Linked DNA regions of Xenopus tropicalis. The protein of the gene in region 1 interacts with the protein of each later gene in a pairwise test. Links are inferred from orthologs where the notes say so. Each region holds a gene or a part of one and is shown on either strand. Other genes may lie near its edges. The genes, in order: rxra and nr0b2.

Evidence for each region.
Region 2: the proteins of rxra (region 1) and nr0b2 interact in a two-hybrid assay, tested with the Homo sapiens proteins (2 studies listed by BioGRID and IntAct). The link is inferred for Xenopus tropicalis from reciprocal best matches to the Homo sapiens genes RXRA and NR0B2.

Annotation. Positions count from the first base shown.
Region 1 is NC_030684.2:8,060,236-8,070,544, reverse strand, and holds the start of rxra (retinoic acid receptor RXR-alpha), read left to right. Parts: upstream 1-4,147; 5' UTR 4,148-4,460; coding exon 4,461-4,488; intron 4,489-10,309. UniProt on the Homo sapiens protein: Receptor for retinoic acid that acts as a transcription factor.
Region 2 is NC_030681.2:89,461,706-89,472,110, reverse strand, and holds the start of nr0b2 (nuclear receptor subfamily 0 group B member 2), read left to right. Parts: upstream 1-4,442; 5' UTR 4,443-5,467; coding exon 5,468-6,065; intron 6,066-9,563; coding exon 9,564-9,805; 3' UTR 9,806-10,405. UniProt on the Homo sapiens protein: Transcriptional regulator that acts as a negative regulator of receptor-dependent signaling pathways. Specifically inhibits transactivation of the nuclear receptor with which it interacts.

The DNA.
Region 1 (10,309 bases):
TCTGAACTTAATCTGCCTCGGGAAAAAAAAAAAAATCCAGTTAAATTCAATGTACATTCCTCGCTGAGAGGAGCAGGTTCAGATTACAGGGGGACAGGCCGGCACTGCTGCTCCGACTCCGTACATCTGTTTTATGTTTAAATCCATATCTATTACAATAAGTTAAAGGAATATTACATTGTGGAAGCTATAAATCTGTTTTATGTTTAATCGCTCAGATCTTTCGCTAAGTCATCCCCCCCCCCCCCCCCCCGGAAGAGTCCATTCAGGGCAATTTCCAGGTAGAAACCACCCCCTGTCCCATTTAATAGACCGACGTACTAATAAATGTGACCAATCGCATCGTTGCTTTAATTTTCTAGTTTCTAAATGACCAATCAATAGGAATTGCTTATTGGTTGCTATTGGCAACTGCACTTCTTCCTTTGTCCTCAAGGGTTCGTGTTTGAGAGGCAGTCACGTAGTAGTTGAGGTGGAAGCAGTCACCTGTCCATCAGGTTCAACCTGTCGCCCAAATTATAACATCACTTTCCTTTTTTATTGCTACAATTTCAAAAGGGTTAGTTCTCCTTTAAATTAACTCTCAGCATGCCGCAGACTGGATAGTCAGTTGCAATTGGTCTCTGGTTGCCAGGGTCCCACTTTCCCCTATCAACGGGCAGAAGTTTAAATGGCAGTAGGTGGGGAATGGTTGGAAGGGAGTCAGTGGCAGTGAGATGGGGGGGGGGGAATCCTTAGCCAGGGAGTTGGGGGGTGAGGGTCAGTGCCAGTGGGTTGGGGGGGGGGTAATGCCCGGGGTTGGCCATTGCTGCAGCCTTTTGTGGGGCCCCATTGCATTCAGCCCTTTTTCCCATAGACTGGCAGCTCTGCCTGGGCACCAACTCTACTCGCCCTGTGGCCCTAACGATCCCAGGGTGCAGCTCCTATTGTGTCCAATGACTTTCCTCCTTCTGGAGTCACATGACCCACTTTGGCTAGTAGCCCCCCCCAAAGGTGCCAACCAACTCCTTTCCAGCTGTTATGGACCACGCAGGCCCTGGGGAATGCTGGGAGTTGTAGTTTAGAACAGCTGGAGGGCTGGGCAGAGGGAACTAGGCTGAGCCTGTGCCAGTGTGAGTGCCTGTGCCAGTGTGAGTGCCTGTGCCAGTGTGAGTGCCTGTGCCAGTGTGAGTGGTATGGTGTGCCAGTGTGAGTGCCAGTCTGTGCCAGTGTGAGTGCCAGTCAGTGTGAGTGCCTTGCTGTGCCAGTGTGGGTGCCATGCTGTGCTAGTGTGAGTGGTATGCTGTGCCAGTGTGGGTGCCAGTCAGTGTGAGTGCCATGTTGTACCAGTGTGAGTGCCTTTGCCAGTGTGAGTGCCAGGCTGTGCCAGTGTGAGTGCCAGTCAGTGTGAGTGACATGCTGTGCCAGTGTGAGTGCCAGTCAGTGTGAGTGACATGCTGTGCCAGTGTGAGTGCCAGTCAGTGTGAGTGACATGCTGTACCAGTGTGAGTGCCTGTGCCATGCTGTGCCAGTGTGAGTGCCAGTCAGTGTGAGTGCCATGTTGTACCAGTGTGAGTGCCTTTGCCAGTGTGAGTGCCAGGCTGTGCCAGTGTGGGGGCCATGCTGTGCCAGTGTGAGTGCCAGTCAGTGTGAGTGACATGCTGTACCAGTGTGAGTGCCTGTGCCATGCTGTGCCAGTGTGGGTGCCATGCTGTGCCAGTGTGAGTGGTATGCTGTGCCAGTGTGGATGCCATGATGCTGTGCCAGTGTGAGTGCCATGCTGTACCAGTGTGAGTGCCAGGCTGTGCCAGTGTGAGTGCCATGCTGTGCCAGTGCCAGACTGTGGCAGTGTGAGTGCCATGCTGTGCCAGTGTGAGTGCCATGATGCTGTGCCAGTGTGGGTGCCAGGCTGTGCTAGCGAGTGCCAGTGTGAGTGTCAGACTGTGCCAGTGTGGGTGCCATGATGCTGTGCCAGTGAGTGCCAGTCAGTGTAAGTGCCATGATACTGTGCCAGTGTAAATGCCAGTCAGTGTGAGTGGCTGTGCCAGTGTGAGTGCCAGTCAGTATGAGTGGCTGTGCCAGTGCCATTATGCTGTGCCAGTGTGTGCCAGTCAGTGCCAGTGTGAATGCCAGGCTGTGCCAGTGTGAGTGCCATGATGCTGTTCCAGTGTGAGTGCCAGGCTGTGCCAGTGTGAGTGCCAGGCTGTGCCAGTGTGAGTACCAGTCAGTGTGAGTGCCAGTCTGTGCCAGTGTGAGTGCTGGGCTGTGCCAGTGTGAGTGTCAATCAGTGTGAGTGCCAGTCAGTGTGAGTGCCAGTCAGTGCCAGTGTGAGTGCCAGTCAGTATGAGTGCCAGGCTGTGCCAGTGTGAGTGCCAGTCAGTGCCAGTGTGAGTGCCAGTCAGTATGAGTGCCAGGCTGTGCCAGTGTGAGTGCCAGTCAGTGTGAGTGCCAGGGTAAGTGCCAGTGTGAGTGCCAGTCAGTGTGAGTGCCACGGTAAGTGCCAGTGTGAGTGCCAGTCAGTGTGAGTGCCAGGGTAAGTGCCAGTGTGAGTGCCAGTCAGTGTGAGTGCCAGGGGAAGTGCCAGTCAGTGTGAGTGCCAGTGTAAGTGCCAGTCAGTGTGAGTGCCAGTCAGTGTGAGTGCCAGGGTAAGTGCCAGTCAGTGTGAGTGCCAGTGTAAGTGCCAGTCAGTGTGAGTGCCACGGTAAGTGCCAGTGTGAGTGCCAGTCAGTGTGAGTGCCACGGTAAGTGCCAGTCAGTGTGAGTGCCAGGGTAAGTGCCAATCAGTGTGAGTGCCAGTGTGAGTGCCAGTCAGTGCCAGTGTGAGTGCCAGTCAGTATGAGTGCCAGGCTGTGCCAGGGTAAGTGCCAGTCAGTGTGAGTGCCAGTGTAAGTGCCAGTCAGTATGAGTGCCAGGCTGTGCCAGTGTGAGTGCCAGTCAGTGTGAGTGCCAGGGTAAGTGCCAGTGTGAGTGCCAGTGTAAGTGCCAGTCAGTGTGAGTGCCACGGTAAGTGCCAGTGTGAGTGCCAGTCAGTGTGAGTGCCAGTCAGTGTGAGTGCCAGTCAGTGTGAGTGCCAGGGTAAGTGCCAGTGTGAGTGCCAGTGTAAGTGCCAGTCAGTGTGAGTGCCAGGGTAAGTGCCAGTGTGAGTGCCAGTCAGTGTGAGTGCCAGGGTAAGTGCCAGTCAGTGTGAGTGCCAGTGTAAGTGCCAGTCAGTGTGAGTGCCAGGGTAAGTGCCAGTGTGAGTGCCAGTCAGTGTGAGTGCCAGGGTAAGTGCCAGTCAGTGTGAGTGCCAGTGTGAGTGCCAGTCAGTGTGAGTGCCAGGGTAAGTGCCAGTCAGTGTGAGTGCCAGTCAGTGTGAGTGCCAGGGTAAGTGCCAGTCAGTGTGAGTGCCAGGGTAAGTGCCAGTCAGTGTGAGTGCCAGTCAGTGTGAGTGTCAGTGTGGGTGCCAGTCAGTGTGAGTGTCAGTGTGGGTGCCAGTCAGTGTGAGTGTCAATGTGAGTGCCAGTATGAGTGTCAGTGTGAGTGCCAGGGTAAGTGCCAGTCAGTGTGAGTGCCAGGGTAAGTGCCAGTCAGTGTGAGTGCCAGTCAGTGTGAGTGTCAGTGTGGGTGCCAGTCAGTGTGAGTGTCAATGTGAGTGCCAGTATGAGTGTCAGTGTGAGTGCCAGGGTAAGTGCCAGTCAGTGTGAGTGCCAGGGTAAGTGCCAGGGTAAGTGCCAGTGTGAGTGCCAGTCAGTGTGAGTGCCAGGGTAAGTGCCAGTCAGTGTGAGTGCCAGTGTGGGTGCCAATCAGTGTGAGTGTCAGTGTGGGTGCCAGTCAGTGTGAGTGTCAATGTGAGTGCCAGTATGAGTGTCAGTGTGAGTGCCAGGGTAAGTGCCAGTCAGTGTGAGTGCCAGGGTAAGTGCCAGGGTAAGTGCCAGTGTGAGTGCCAGTCAGTGTGAGTGTCAGTCAGTGCCAGTGTGAGTGTCAGTCAGTGCCAGTGTGAGTGCCAGTCAGTGTGAGTGCCAGGGTAAGTGCCAGTCAGTGTGAGTGCCAGGGTAAGTGCCAGGGTAAGTGCCAGGCTGCTGGGCAATTAGCGAGTGGGAAAGAGTTCGGTGCGATTCTGTGGGTAGAGCCGCATTTCCCCTGAGCGCCCCTAGGGGGCCCCCGCTCCGCCTCTCTCCCCAGTCCCCGTATCCCGGCTCCCCCCTCTGCGCTGTGTCACTGGCGGAGGGCTCGGCCGTCGCTGCTCCCCTCGGCGGGGCCCCGTTGCATTGCAGCCTGAGGAGTTGGAGCGGGGAGGCAGGACAACTACTTTCCTTACATTGTTGGTGAGTTTGCAGCAAACTCCTCCGCCCGGGCCCCCGACCCCGCTGGATCCGACTCTCCCCGGGGCCCCCGGATCCCCTGCTCCCAGCCGGCCCATCGCTCTCCTGCACAGGATATCACTGCGGGGCCCCCCAGCCTCCTCTTCCCATCCCCAGGCGCTTGGCATGAGTTAGCCAGCCATGGACACCAAGCATTTCCTGCCGCTGGGTGAGTACTGGGTGCCAGGGTGCTGGGCTGTGGGTGGGGGGCACCTACTGCCGCATCTGTCTCTCTCCTGCTCATCCCACTGCCTCCCCTTGTGTTGTTGTTCCAGCCATTTAACCCCCACAATGCACTTGTAGAGTTCCATACCCCCCCCTTTGGCTGGTAGCCCCCCCAGCAGTGCCAAGCAGGTAGTGGGCACAAACACATGGGTACAAGTTATTGGGCAGCAATGCCAGGCTCCTTGCTCTTATGACTCCTGGGCTGCTGGGGCATGCTGGGAGTTGTAGTTTATAGCAGGTAGAAAAGTTCAGGGGGGGGGGTCCTGCCCTGTCACTACTACTACATAAAGTAGGAGGGGGCAGAGGGGAAATTGCTGCCCTCGGTGTTTATGATCCCGGGATGTATCGGTGTTATATAAGGGGGGGGTATTATACCGTAACTGTCCCTAAGGGCAACTTCCTATTGTATCAAGTGCCAGCGAATGGCTCTTAACCCCTTATCTGCCAAGGTGGCATCAGAGAGGTTAAACTATTCTTATGCAAATGGTAAAACTACCGTTCCCAGCATCCTCCTGTGGCCGGTTAATCAAAGGCTGTGCCACTCTTACTGCCAGGGGGGGGGGGGGGGGGGGGTAGCTGCACACCTTAGTAGACATGGCCCTCTGCTTTTAGACCCACTTCCCTGCCCCGAGCTGAGACGCACTGATTTATTTGATCGCAAGCATTTGGGACAAGGACCCATAATGCCTTCTGTGCCGTGACCCGTGAGTTCATTGGTGGAAGCTGAACCCTTAACCCTACTGATGCAGCCAAGGGCACGGAGCCATAATCTCCCCCCCCGTCAGTGCCCGTTTAGTGCCAACTCTGGGTCCTTCTGTGTTTCCGAGACATCGATTGAAGTATTTAATTAAATTCATGCCGACTGTACCGATTTCCGTTGCGCCATGCTGAATCTTACAGTCATAACCAAGTAGCCATGCTGATTGGATACTGCATACAGTATATGCTTATGGTTTTAAAGGGGGTCTGGCAGAGAGATTGCCCAAAAGGTGCCACTGGTGGCGGTTTCAATGGTGGTGGCGCTTGCCCGTTGGCAGGAAAATGCCCCTGATTGTGATTGATGGCACAATGTAAATACATACTGTTATTGCCTATGGGATAAGCCACACTGGTGGCACCACAACGCATGGGTATTCACACCGGTACTGTCTGTTTATTTAGTGACGGGCAATGCCAAGGGCACAAGTGACCTAATACCCCAGGACCCCTGCCCAGCGCAGCGGAGAATGAAATAAATAAAAGCTAAATTCCTTTGACGGGAAGGATCCGTGTCTCCCGTAAATAAAGTATTAATGCCCGCCGTTGGCACCAAGTCACTTCAGTTACCCGCAGCAACCAGTGTGCGGTTACCAGGCTGCTATTGGGAATGAACTGGGGGCAAACATTGCCCGACTGACTGTAATACCCCCCCTGTTGGCGCACCTGGTTCCCACGGGGTGCCAGTCGGTGCCCCCTCCTCGCCCTACAGTTTCCCACCAGATTTTCTCTTCTCCTTGAGAAGCTCTTGTCCCTCAAGTGTTTTGCTGGGCACCAGAATGACGTACAATTAATTAGCTTTGGGCCGGGTACCTTTGGGCTATAATTACACTGCCTAATTGGGGTGGGGGGTCACCGGTGCCCCAGCACTGATGGACACAGTAGGTGCCAGGGGTGGAGCCCTCCGTGTCTCCTGTTGGTGCTTTATTGGGACATTGGAGGGTACAGGTACCAGACTGGGCACTGGACTGGTTAAACAGGACCCTGTGCCAACCCAAGGCTCGGCGGGGCACAGGGCAGGAACAGGGGGGCGGGGCTAGTGCAGCTCCAGGGGGCAAGGTTCACGGGCAACTTGTTGTGCAGTAATTCCTACTGATAATGGTGCGGGGGATCCCATACAGAGCTCACCTACAGGTGCCCGGCGGGGTCATGTTTATATTATTACTTGCACCCCCCAGGGGCCCCGATAAAGCAATGGAGGCAGGGGCCACAGGAGCTTCATGTTTGATTGGTTCTGGCTTTGAGAAACAATGTAGCAGAAGTCAGTTCCCCCTCCTGGTCTGTCAGTCAGTTGCTTCTGCTACATTGTTTCAGTAGAAAGTAAACTGACAGTCAATAGCAATGACAGTTACACATAACTATAAACCCAGTGAGAATGAGGAATGAATGGGTATTGGGGAGTTGTATCAGGAGTCAGAACCAGCAGTGCAGGGAAGGGAAAGGGACAGACACAGTGACAGTTACACATAACTATAAACCCAGTGAGAATGAGGAATGAATGGATATTGGGGAGTTGTATCAGGAGTCAGAACCAGCAGTGCAGGGAAGGGAAAGGGACAGACACAGTGACAGTTACACATAACTATAAACCCAGTGAGAATGAGGAATGAATGGATATTGGGGAGTTGTATCAGGAGTCAGAACCAGCAGTGCAGGGAAGGGAAAGGGACAGACACAGTGACAGTTACACATAACTATAAACCCAGTGAGAATGAGGGATGAATGGGTATTGGGGAGTTGTATCAGGAGTCAGAACCAGCAGTGCAGGGAAGGGAAAGGGACAGACACAGTGACAGTTACACATAACTATAAACCCAGTGAGAATGAGGAATGAATGGATATTGGGGAGTTGTATCAGGAGTCAGAACCAGCAGTGCAGGGAAGGGAAAGGGACAGACACAGTGACAGTTACACATAACTATAAACCCAGTGAGAATGAGGGATGAATGGATATTGGGGAGTTGTATCAGGAGTCAGAACCAGCAGTGCAGGGAAGGGAAAGGGACAGACACTGACAGTTACACATAACTATAAACCCAGTGAGAATGAGGGATGAATGGATATTGGGGAGTTGTATCAGGAGTCAGAACCAGCAGTGCAGGGAAGGGAAAGGGACAGACACAGTGACAGTTACACATAACTATAAACCCAGTGAGAATGAGGGATGAATGGATATTGGGGAGTTGTATCAGGAGTCAGAACCAGCAGTGCAGAGAAGGGAAAGGGACAGACACAGTGACAGTTACACATAACTATAAACCCAGTGAGAATGAGGAATGAATGGATATTGGGGAGTTGTATCAGGAGTCAGAACCAGCAGTGCAGGGAAGGGAAAGGGACAGACACAGTGACAGTTACACATAACTATAAACCCAGTGAGAATGAGGAATGAATGGATATTGGGGAGTTGTATCAGGAGTCAGAACCAGCAGTGCAGAGAAGGGAAAGGGACAGACACAGTGACAGTTACACATAACTATAAACCCAGTGAGAATGAGGAATGAATGGGTATTGGGGAGTTGTATCAGGAGTCAGAACCAGCAGTGCAGGGAAGGGAAAGGGACAGACACAGTGACAGTTACACATAACTATAAACCCAGTGAGAATGAGGAATGAATGGATATTGGGGAGTTGTATCAGGAGTCAGAACCAGCAGTGCAGGGAAGGGAAAGGGACAGACACAGTGACAGTTACACATAACTATAAACCCAGTGAGAATGAGGAATGAATGGATATTGGGGAGTTGTATCAGGAGTCAGAACCAGCAGTGCAGGGAAGGGAAAGGGACAGACACAGTGACAGTTACACATAACATAATGGATATTGGGGAGCTGCTTGTCTTTTATTAGGTGATAAAACAGTTTTTGGGCTGAGTTCCCCTTTAACTCGCTGCCATCCAATCAGGGCTCGGCGCAGGCCCCAGGAGCAGGTTTAACAGTTGCAGTAGTCGCGAATGGACGGACACAGCTCTGAGCTTGGCTTAACCCCCTGGGGGGGTCGTGGAAGTGTTTAACCCCCTCATTGCTGATGGTTTATTAGGGCGCCTGTGCAGCTGCTGCAGAACCCCTTGCCCCTGAATGTGTATAGTATAGAACCCTATAGTTGGTTCTGAAAGGCACATTGGGGGCTCGATGTGAAGGCTCCCCCCCCTACAGGAAATGCCAACGCGATTTCAGTCCTCGCCGTCCGCTCGGCTGCGTTAGTGCGTTCATCTGACTGTTGCTATGGTGTGCGAGCGAGTGTGCAAATCCCCTGTGTGCCAGCATGCGTTTGTCTGATAGGGATGGGTAAGAGATCCAATGGTCTGGCTGGGGGGGATTGTAGCCCTTGTGAAACTACATCTCCCATCATCCTTAGCTAACTCAGCTTGGATCCCCCCCCTCCCACTGCAGTTGGTTTATTCCAGCTGTTATTGGACTCCAGAGAATATAGAACTCAGTGACAGCGGGCATGACCCTTGGAATGTATGGGAACTACAAATCCCAGCATTCCCTGGGAACTCAGTGACAGCGGGCATGACCCTTGGCATGCAATGGGAACTACAACTCCCAGCATTCCCTGGGAACTCAGTGACAGCGGGCAGGACCCTTGGAATGTATGGGAACTACAAATCCCAGCATTCCCTGGGAACTCAGTGACAGCGGGCATGACCCTTGGCGTGTATGGGAACTACAAATCCCAGCATTCCCTGGGAACTCAGTGACAGCGGGCAGGACCCTTGGAATGTATGGGAACTACAAATCCCAGCATTCCCTGGGAACTCAGTGACAGCGGGCATGACCCTTGGCGTGTAGTGGGAACTACAAATCCCAGCATTCCCTTGGACCTCAGTGACAGCGGGCATGACCCTTGGCATGTATGGGAACTACAAATCCCAGCATTCCTTGGGAACTCAGTGACAGCAGGCATGGCCCTTGGCGTGTATGGGAACTACAAATCCCAGCATTCCCTGGGAACTCAGTGACAGCAGGCATGACCCTTGGCATGTATGGGAACTACAAATCCCAGCATTCCCTGGGAACTCAGTGACAGCGGGCATGACCCTTGGCGTGTATGGGAACTGCAAATCCCAGCATTCCTTGGGAACTCAGTGACAGCAGGCATGGCCCTTGGCATGTATGGGAACTACAAATCCCAGCATTCCCTGGGAACTCAGTGACAGCGGGCATGGCCCTTGGCATGTATGGGAACTACAAATCCCAGCATTCCCTGGGAACTCAGTGACAGCAGGCATGGCCCTTGGCGTGTATGGGAACTACAAATCCCAGCATTCCCTGGGAACTCAGTGACAGCAGGCATGACCCTTGGCATGTATGGGAACTACAAATCCCAGCATTCCCTGGGAACTCAGTGACAGCGGGCATGACCCTTGGCGTGTATGGGAACTGCAAATCCCAGCATTCCTTGGGAACTCAGTGACAGCAGGCATGGCCCTTGGCATGTAATGGGAACTACAAATCCCAGCATTCCCTGGGAACTCAGTGACAGCGGGCATGGCCCTTGGCATGTATGGGAACTACAAATCCCAGCATTCCCTGGGAACTCAGTGACAGCGGGCATGACCCTTGGCATGTAATGGGAACTACATCTCCCATCATCCTTAGCTAACTCAGCTCAGATTCCCCCCCCCCCTGCAGTTGGTGCATTCCAGCTGTTATTGGACTCCAGAGAATATAGAACTCAGTGACAGCAGGCATGGCCCTTGGCATGTAATGGGAACTACAAATCCCAGCATTCCCTGGGAACTCAGTGACAGCGGGCATGGCCCTTGGCATGTATGGGAACTACAAATCCCAGCATTCCCTGGGAACTCAGTGACAGCGGGCATGACCCTTGGCGTGTATGGGAACTACAACTCCCAGCATTCCATGGGAACAGCTAAAATCATTGCTGTCGGCTAGGGGAACGGGTCGGGCCCAACGGGCCAGTTTCTGGGCAAATGGCACAAAATGCAGAGGCTTCGTGTCACCAGGAAGAGGTGCGGTTTGGTGGTTAAAGCGGAGTCTTGT
Region 2 (10,405 bases), on another chromosome or scaffold:
ATTAGCCACATTTAAATGGTAGATGCTTATAAATAGTAGCCACTAGTGATGAGCAAATGTGTTCTGGTTATCTTTGGTAAAAAATTAGCAAATCTTTTGAAAGATCCACGAAACAGCAAAAATGTTGTGCGGGCAAAAAAATTGTTGCCCGCGACTAATATTTTTTGACACCTGTGTCAATTTTTGTACGTGCAGTGAATTTTTGCGTGGCAAATTTTTTCATGCGTTTTGCACAAAACGCATGAAAAAATTCACCGCACGTCCAAAAATTCGATGCGAATCCATGCCTGGCGAAATATTTCATCACTTGTAGCCGAATATAAATAGTCATGCGAATAAACGCACGCCATGTTAGCCATACACGCCAATACTTGCGGAAAATGACTGTATTAAAAATGACCATTTCACTGCAAACTGGAGGCTGCGTCACTCTAGGGGAAACACATACTTGAATAAATCACACTGCAAAGTCCATATTTTATTGCCAAAAGCTCATTTACTGTACTTTTCTATAATTATCGCCTGCCTGAAGTAGGTGTTAATTTTCGCATAGCCTAATGCGATATTTAGCGCGTTTAGTGGTTGTGAATCATGCGATCGTATTCTTTTCAGCGCGGAAATTAACGCATGCATTAAAACTAGCGCGAGAAATACCGCATGCGAAAATGGCGACTTATCGCACGCGATAATACTATGGTGAATTGCGCGCTAATTATCGCCACTTATTTCACGCAAAAAAGCGTGCGATAAATTTTATCGCACTTTAGTGAATCGGGCCCATATTATTTTGTGTGGGCCTCCATGACAGGTAATTTACATTATGTTCAAGCTTCCTGCTCAGGGTTTCTGTGAAGCAATAGATTAGCCCTGTATTAGTAAGAGCGAAAGGAGAATTCATAAGATTACTGGCAGCACACAATGGTTACAGGGTTAAAGGAATTGTTCTACTGAAGAGACACTATAATCTGTCAGAGCTGATTCATTCAGCCAGGTCAGCTTTGGAACTGTCTAGGCACGCCTAGGTGTCATGGGGGCATCTATATAATGACACATGTAAAGGGGTTGTTCCACACACTACTTCCACACACTTTTTTCAGTTTATTGGTTTCAGATAGTTCACCGGGGGTAAAAACTTTTTTTTCAGTTGGTTTGTATTTTATGTTTGTGAGCATTTTTCTAATATTGAAGTTTTGCTTTTCATTTTCTTATGTCTCCCTGGTGTAGTCCAGGTGGGGGATCACCAACTCTGTAAAGTATTCTAATTTGATTGATACAAGTCTTATGTAAGTATAATGTGAGCATAATCCCTTAGTTGCATTAAGGGTTCTTATACACAAGCTTTTGCTAGTGTTTCTATTGCAATTAATGTGGCAAAAAACAAACACAGGTGAAATGGAACCTGATGTGTGTGCAAAAGCCTTAAAGTCAGTTGTTATAACTGATACAATCAGGGCCGCCATCAGGGGGGCAGTTGTCCAGGAGGATTTTGACTCTTAAGGGGGCCCAGCCATGCTACACTTATTAGCTGGAGCCCCCTTTAATCAAATACAGGCCCTGTCCTCTTTAACATTGGGCATGTTAAATTTTATTGGCGGTGAGCAGCTAATCCGGTTGGTTGTGCCCCATGCATACGTGTGATGTCAGTACGCACGAGGCACAACCTTGTAAGAGGGCCTGTCTCCTGTAGCATGGAGACAGAAGTGAAGAGGTGTCTTCGGGGGAGCATCTCGCTGGAGAAACCAATGCCGCCAGAGGAGTCGCTGAAGAAGAAGACGGAAGAGCCAAAGAAGGAAGAGGATGCCAGAGAAGGAAGACGTTACACTGAACACCAATGTTCTTAGGCCCTGCCCTGACCACCAATGCTACCCCCTGGCCACCAATACTACCTCCTGGCCACCAACAGTTTAGGGAGCCCTGGTCACCAACAGTTTAGGGAGCTCTGGCCACCATGAGTTTAGGGGGCCCTGGGCACCATTGGTTTAGGGGGCCCTGGCCACCATCTGTTTTAGGGGGCTCTGGCCACCAATGATTTTTTATTTACAATTTGAAGGGGCCCCTGGCCACCAATGATTTGTATTTATAACTTATAGGGGGCCCTGGCTTTGTACCAAGGGGAGGGGGGGCAAGAAAATTTTGTTCTGAGGGGCCCATGATTTCTAATGGCAGCCCTGGATACAACAGTTGTCTACTTTTCACAGATGCTGCTGAGAAATGTTAGTTAATGAAGCAAAATGTAACAGTAATGCATTTCTGTGCTGTGATGATGTACATGTTGGCCTGAAACCCATGGGTCGGGTGTGGTGAACATCCACACAAGACTTGGGGTCCCGGGCAGGTTCTGGTTGAGCTCTTTCTTCAGTCCTCCATGCCTGCAACCTTGCTATGTCCTGCTTCCACCTATGGCAACCTCTATTTATAGGCACATACACATGATAAATGCCCTTTAAACTGTTTATTTTTACAGCGTGACTATTGGATCAGATATTTTGACCACTAATTATGCTGTCATGTGACTTATTTTGTTGTTTCATTGATTTGCATAATTTTTGTGGTTTTATTGCATTTTTATCCCTATATTAGTGTTCCTGATCTGATTTTAGCATAGCTTTGCCATGTGTAACTTTGGTGTACAAAAATAACTTTGTCTCTGTATAGTTAGGGGGGGTTACGGCACATAATACGCTGTCAGGGGGCTCTGTGTGCAAAAGCTGAGTTGGCAGGCGAGAAATCCATATGCGCTATTTTAATTTTGGGTTCAGTACACACCACAGACTTTGGTATATCTATGCATATTGGGCATCAAACTGTTCAGTTGACCTTAGGTGTTCCTATTTGGGGTGAATTGCCTTTGTATGCAAGAAATTGTGTGAGATAAATGCAGCAAACTGCAACATTTTTATGCGATTTTCTCAAATGTCATAAAACCACTAACTTTAGGAAAGCTTTGCAGATTGGTACTTTGGTGTAGAAAGGACTCTTTACTCATGTTAGATTTGTCAGAATGTGTACTTTCCAAAAATATAAGGTTTTCTGGGGGTCTCTGTATAGTTAGGGGGTGATACGGCACATAATATGCTGTCAGGGGGCTCTGTGTGCAAAAGCTGAGTTGGCGAGAAATCCTTATGCACTATTTTCTTTTTGGGGTCAGTACACACCACAGACTTTGGTATATCTATGCATATTGGGCATCAAACTGTTCAGTAGACCTATGGTGTTCCTATTTGAGGGAAAATCACTTGAGGTGATTTTTGGAAATGCCATAAAAATCGTCAAACTTAGGAAAGCTTCGCGGCTTGGTACTTTGGAGTAGAAAGACATGGGTACCCATTTTAGATTCGGGGGAAAGTGTACTTTCCAAAAATATATGACTTTCTGGGGTGAGCATATGTTTTACTAGCGTTATCCCACATATAATGATGTAAATGTGTTGATTTTGCAGAAGCTGAAATGATAGATCATATGGGGGTATGTTCACATTGGGGCCCCTATATGCCACATACTTAGGTAAACCTATACATATTGGGCATCAAACTGTTCAGTGGACCCCTGGACCCCTCTTGGTACCTAATGATAAGTGGGAGATAAGATGCTGGAAACTGGAAGCTTTGAGTGGCTTTTTCAAAATTTCCAACTTTAGGAAAGCTTTGCGGCTTGGTACTTTAGAGTAGAAGACACGGGTACCCATTTTAGATTCGGGGGAATGTGTACTTTCCAAAAATATATGATTTTCTGGGGTGAATGTACTTTTTACTAGCTTTATCCCACATATAATGATGTAAGTGTTGATTTTGCAGAAGCTGAAATGACAAATGATTGATCATATGGGGGTATGTTCCCATTGGGGCCCCTACATGCCAAATACTTAGGTAAACCTATACATATTGGACATCAAACTGTAAAAACAATAACTTTAGGAAAGCATTGCAACTTGGTAGTTTGGAGTAGACAGACAGTTGTGCCTATTCTGGATTCCCCAGAATCTGTTCTTTCTAAAAATGTATAGTTTTCTGGGATAAACCTTCTGTTAGTGGAATTTTGGCCTTAAATACTAAAAAGTATTCAGCTTTCTGGAGCAGTGCTTTGGAAATTTGGTAGTGTACTGCTGGGAGTTTTTGACCTACAGTATACAACTGAGAAATCTCCATAAAACTATATATATTTGGTATTGGCACGTTCAGGAGACATGGGACTTTCCAAATCAGTTGTATTTTCATGCATAAAATACTTTTTGTTTCTGGTGTATGTGTTTATATTATGGAAAATATTTTTTTTTCATTTTTTAGACATTTAGAAGCCTATATCTTGTTACAGAATCGGAATTACACAAAAATTCTACCATATTTTAGCCATCCTGAAAAAAACAATATATTGTTTTCCCGAGGAAAGGCCCCTAAAGTGAAACAGTGCAAAATGTTCAAAAACTGTATGGCAGTAGAAGTTCCACTTTGTCAAAAACGGCTGGCAGTGAAAGGGTTAACAAGTATTAAACAACCTGATAAGAATGGACTGAAGAGGTTATTTTTAGTTTCTGAGGCTACAGTATCAATGCATGTAGGAGTGTGTAATCATGCTGATATTGCAAGCTTCAGGAAGAAAAGCATTTTTAAATCTAGTGGTGTAAGTACTCTGTGCTAGGCCCCCTGCAAAACAAAAATCGTTAGAAGGGCACAGCACAGAGTAGCAAACGTACCCTTCCCGACCACGTGTCATCCCTACACGTCATCCCTACACTATGACGCATTCCCTGCCCCCTCCTGCACTTGTCTGTCAATTCTTGCCCCCGCCTGATTCCTACCTAGAAGGCGCTGCTGTGCCTATTGACGCAGGGGAACCCTGGAGCTACTGCCACCTCCTGACAAGGCATTAGCTTCAGGATTCTTCAGTGCTCTGAACCAATAGGCACAGCACAACTGCATCAAGAGAATCGCTGTTTGCGCACTGTGGGAAACAAATATGGCGGTGCACTTTGCACACTGCATCTAGGTAAGTGAATGCACCCTTCAAATAAAGTCATTCTGTGCTGTTTTAAAAAAAAAGCTGATAAATGGCTTTATCGTGTCAAATTAAATTTTATATTGTGATTTTTCAAGGACAAGCTAAAAACATAGAATTGCCACTGTAAATGTATCACAGTTGGCAGCTTGGTAAGTGTCCTTGATATCATGGCACTGCTTTCCACCATATCACAGTGACAGGGAACGGTAAACAACACTTTACTCATTGTTCAGTTCCTATCAGTAACCAGCTCCCTCATTCAGATAATTCCAGCTCCTTTAGATACTGTGGGCTAAACCACGCCTTGCTCAGTTGTGAATGAAAACAGTCTAGTAGGAATAAAGTTCAAGGGAATTTTAGCACACGCAGTCACATTACTGTTCAACTTGCTGAGTATATAAAAGATCCAATCACCTACTAGTTTGGCAGAACTACTGCTTTTCTTTATGTGTGAGGCACTGTATATCGGCTCATGTGTTTATCCCCCAGTGTATGCAACACGGAAATGGCTTGCATATCTGAAAAGTTAGGAAAATGTCACTGTAACAGAGATCCAGTTAACAGTATTCTTTTTCAGATGCTTAACAAAGGGATTCATTCAGAGACTAAGAGCCCAAATGACAACCGCAGTCACATCTGCTCCTTGGCTAGAGAATGCCCTTGTGAAGGCAACAGAAGAGTGTCTCTGAAGAACCCTGAGGTGACTTGCAAGACAGCATCAGAAGTACTACTAAAAACTGTGGCATTCATTAGAAATGTACCATCCTTCTATCAGCTGCCCCAGGAGGATCAGATTCTTCTTGTACAGAACTGCTGGGCTCCACTTTTTGTTTTAGGTCTTGCCCAGGAAAGGGTGAATTTTGAACTACAAGAACATTCTGTTCCCAGTTTATTAAAGAAAATTCTTCTAAATCAGTATGCGAATGTCAGTGACATTGCACTGAGATCTGATAGAGGAGTTCCAGCAATAGAAGTTCAAAGAATTCAGCGGTTTCTATACAAACTCTGGAACTTAGACATCAGCACAAAGGAATATGCTTACCTCAAAGGGATGCTTCTGTTCAACCCAGGTAAGATGGTTCACATTTAAATTTACTTTTAGTATGATGTAGAGAGTGATATTCTAAAACAATTTGAAATTGGTCTTTATTTTTTATTGTTTGTGGTTTTTTGGAGTTATTTGGCTTCTTATTTTGCAGCTTTCCAGTTTGCCATTTCAGCAGTCTGGTTGCCAGGGCCCAAATTACCCTAGCAACCCTGCACTTATTTGAATGAAAGACTGGAATACAAATACAGTAGGTGAGGGTCTGAATAGAAAGGTTAGTGATAAAATGTAGCAATAACAATAAATTTGTAGCCTTAAAGAGCATTCGTTTTTTAGATGGGGTCTGGGACACCCATTTGAAAGCTGGAAATATTCAGAAGAATAAGATAAACAAAGAAAAAATAAAGGGCAATTGAAAAGTTGCTTAGAATTGGCCATTCTATAACATACTAAAAGTTAACTAAAAGGTGAACCACCCCTTTAAAGAGATGTTCAGAAAGTCTATGTCTTGTGCATCTGTTTTTTTGGGCTCACTTCTGCCCCTGTCCATGGTAACCCTTGCTCACTTCAGAAATTTTCTTTTAAACGCTTAAAGAGTGAGAAATATATATTTTTAAAAAATGACTTATCTTTTAGTTTTGGCCTCCATTATTCTCACCTCTATCACCAGTGCCTGGTGGTTAAATATACTGCGATTTATAACCAAATTTGAAGTGTTTTAAGTGAACACATACTTATACAGACCTATATATACACTCACATATATAAACAATATATAACAATATCTATACTAATTCTAGATTTATAGTATCAAAATAAACTTTGATATTAAGCTAATGTGGAAAATCATCCAAGCCCCAAGGCAGTAACAGAATCTGCCATCACAACATCACCTGGCAGGACATTTCACAACCTCACTGCCCTCACCTTAAAGAACAACCTACGCTGCTTAAAATTCAAATGAAAATTCCTCTAAACCAGTGGTTCTCAACCTTCCTAATGCCGCAACCCTTTAATACAGTTCCTCATGTTGTGGTGACTATAAAATTATTCCTAAGACCATTGGAAATATGTGTTTTCCGAATGTCTTAGGCGACCCCTGTGAAAAGGTCGTTCGACCCCCAAAGGGGTCCCGACCCACAGGTTGAGAACCGCTGCTCTAAGCTAAAGGAGTAGCCTCTACTGAATATATATAATAGGATGTCGAACTGGCTTTAGGTTCAATCTTTCAATGGTTCGGTCAAGCTACTGGATATAACTATAAGTAACTAGTAATAGGGGAACTTTCACATACTCAAAATGTAGTTAAGCTTCATCTCATGGAAATAATAAATATTCTAAGAATAATCAATTTAAAATTCTGTACCTATTTCTGAAATAATCAAATTACACTTCATTATCCTCCTCTTAGCAGTCGGTGTCATTATTGATTATCTTTCGAAAGTTTCTTACTTCCATGACATAAAACACAAATTAAATTTTCATTTTTGTAATAGTTCCCATTTCAGAGCTAATCATTCTTAGGCTTGTATTGACCTTTTTTAAGGCTTCTCTTCTTTAGTTTTTATTTATATAGCATGAATGTGTTATGAAGCTTGGAAATCATCTGAATAGCTACTTAAATAGGAATTAAATAGTTTGGGCTATTCCAGTGTTTTCAGTACCACTGTATAGGCTTACTCACACAGAGTTCTGTAAAGTAAATGCTTGGAGCTGCTGCCTGGACTGTGAACGCTCTACACTCTAGAGTGCACTCTCTAATGGAAGAATCTTCAAGCCTTTGCCTCACTCTGTAGCTCTCCGGGGGCCCTGGCCGTACAGTGCTTAATGTTTGAACAGATCCCTTAAAAATGAGCTTACGTCACATTGTGTGACTACTGCATAATCCATTTATTTGTATTATAACCTTGACAAACTGCAAGTGAAGGAGACTGGTAGAGCCAGGAGTTTCTTTTTTTATCTGGGTTCAGCAGGAGCATAGTCATAAAATAAATTTCATTTATTATATGGAACTTCCTATCATGCTTACTGATAATGCAGCCTGATTTCTCTTTGTATATATCCTCTTTTAGAAAGTGAGCTCTTTGACATTACTTTCATGTCTACGTGCAGTTTAAAGCATCCAGCTGGGAACTAGTATTAATATTAATTACTACTTCCTTTTATATTAATCCCAAGGATTAAGGAAGGCCTGTATTATTTTCCTCTACAAATGGTTTTATTATCAGTACTGAAAACTTTTATATATTAATATAAGTTATGGAAACTTTCCACTGTTCTGTGAAAAGTAAAGGAAGCATGATGTCATTTAGGATCCAGTAACAATTTTAAAATCTAATTGTAGCTAAAGTTATTGGAAAGTTGAAAGAACATTTTCCCAATGCTTTTCCATCCCCAAAACAGAGGTATGAATTGTATAGCAAACTTTAAAAAAAAAAACCAGAAATCAAAAGCAATATCGTACAGGTATGGGATCTATTACCCATTATCCAGAAAGCTCTGAATTACAGGAAGGCCATCTCCTATAGATTGCATTTTAATCAAATAATTCATTTTTTAAAAAATGATTTCCTTTTTCTCTGTAATAATAAAACAGTACCTTGTACTTGATCCCAACTAAGATATTATTATTATATATAATTACAGACAAAACAATCCTATTGGGTTTATTTAATGATTCAATAATTTTTTTTAGTAGACATACCATATGGACATCCAAAATACAGAAAGGCCTGCAAACCTCAGGTCCTGAGCATTCTGGGTAACAGTGTCCATACCTGTAACATCTTTTAAATGTAGGCCAATGGGCATTCAGTCATAACACAGTCCTAGTTCCCATTTTACTACTAAGAAACAGCATTGTTAGTGAAGGATTTTATTTATATACAATACTTAAGGCCAGATTTACTAAAACTCCATAATTTCTCATTTTTTTTATTTTCAAATTTGACCAAATTAGTCTTCCCAAATGTCTGATATTTACTAAAAAAAAGTCACTCAGAGAAAAGTTGTAAAAAAAAAACTCGACTTGTTCAACTTTTTGCCGCGAAAATTCCAACTTTAGAAAATTGTTGCTGTGAGAATTCTAAAAAGTCGTGAATTTCAGAGAAAACCCAGCAAAATCTTCGAGAAAGAACTTCAAGGGAAGGGACCTTTGCCAATGACTTCTACTTAAACTCTGTGAGTTTAATCTGGCAAATTGTCAAATTCATATTTTTAGCTGTTTAAACGTATAGTAAAAAGCATTTTTTCTCTGCAATTTTTTTTTAAAAATCAAATTGAGTTTAAAATTAAAAATAGATGGCTAGTAAATGAGCCCCTAATGCCAAAAAAGGAAAAAAGGTGTATTGTCTTTAATCCCTATATATTTCTTACTTCTTTGATCCTTGTGTGCTAACTTTTGATTTAATAGTTATTGTGTACTATGAAAACTTTGCTTAACCCACGTGACATTTTTTTAAAAATGTTTTATTTTAATAGTTAAATAATACACTTCACACGCAATTGTCTTTTTGTTTCACAGATATCAGTGGCATGACATTCCCTCACTATGTTCACACTCTGCAGCTGGAAGCCCAGCATACACTAATGGAATTTATCTCAATGATGCACAGTCAGAGCCTTGCTCGCTTCAACTGGATGCTTCAAGCACTTGACACTGTAAAAGAAGTTAACCCCTTAGTGATCACAAAACTTTTTTTCAGTCCCATCTCTGGTGAGATAAATGTGGAAGAACTTTTGCTGGAAACATTATTTGTAAAATAAAAAACCTACTATTGTGACATGTATAAATGTCTCCAGAACTGCAACAGCAAGTTATGGAAACCATAATAACTTATAGCTAATATCATTTGAAAAAGAATGCTGTGGTGAAAGCTTCCCTTAATGCCAATAAAGAGTTTACATACAGTGGATCAGCCTTTCCGGAATGATACTGTGACATTACTCAATGAGTTAATGAAATGACACTTACATAGGAAGAAATGCTTTCTGCAACGTGACCACAGTTATACTCCTTATATTTGTTTGTCACTATATTAGGGATACACCAAATCCAGGATTCGGTTTGGCATTTGGCTGAGATTCAGACTTTTTTGGCAGGATTTGGCCAAATCCATAGTCCTGACTGAGCCGAATCTGAATCCTTAAAATCATGTGAATTTTTGCCACAAACATGGAAGTTGGGAAAATTTTGTGCGTTTTTTCTATGCCTTAGTGTGCATATGCAAATTAGGATTCGGTTCAGTATTTGGCTGAATCATTCACAAATGATTCATGGTTCGGCTGAATCTCAAAATAGTGGGTTTGGTTTATCCCTACACTATATACAGACTACATAAATGAAAATTATAACTAAAGTACATG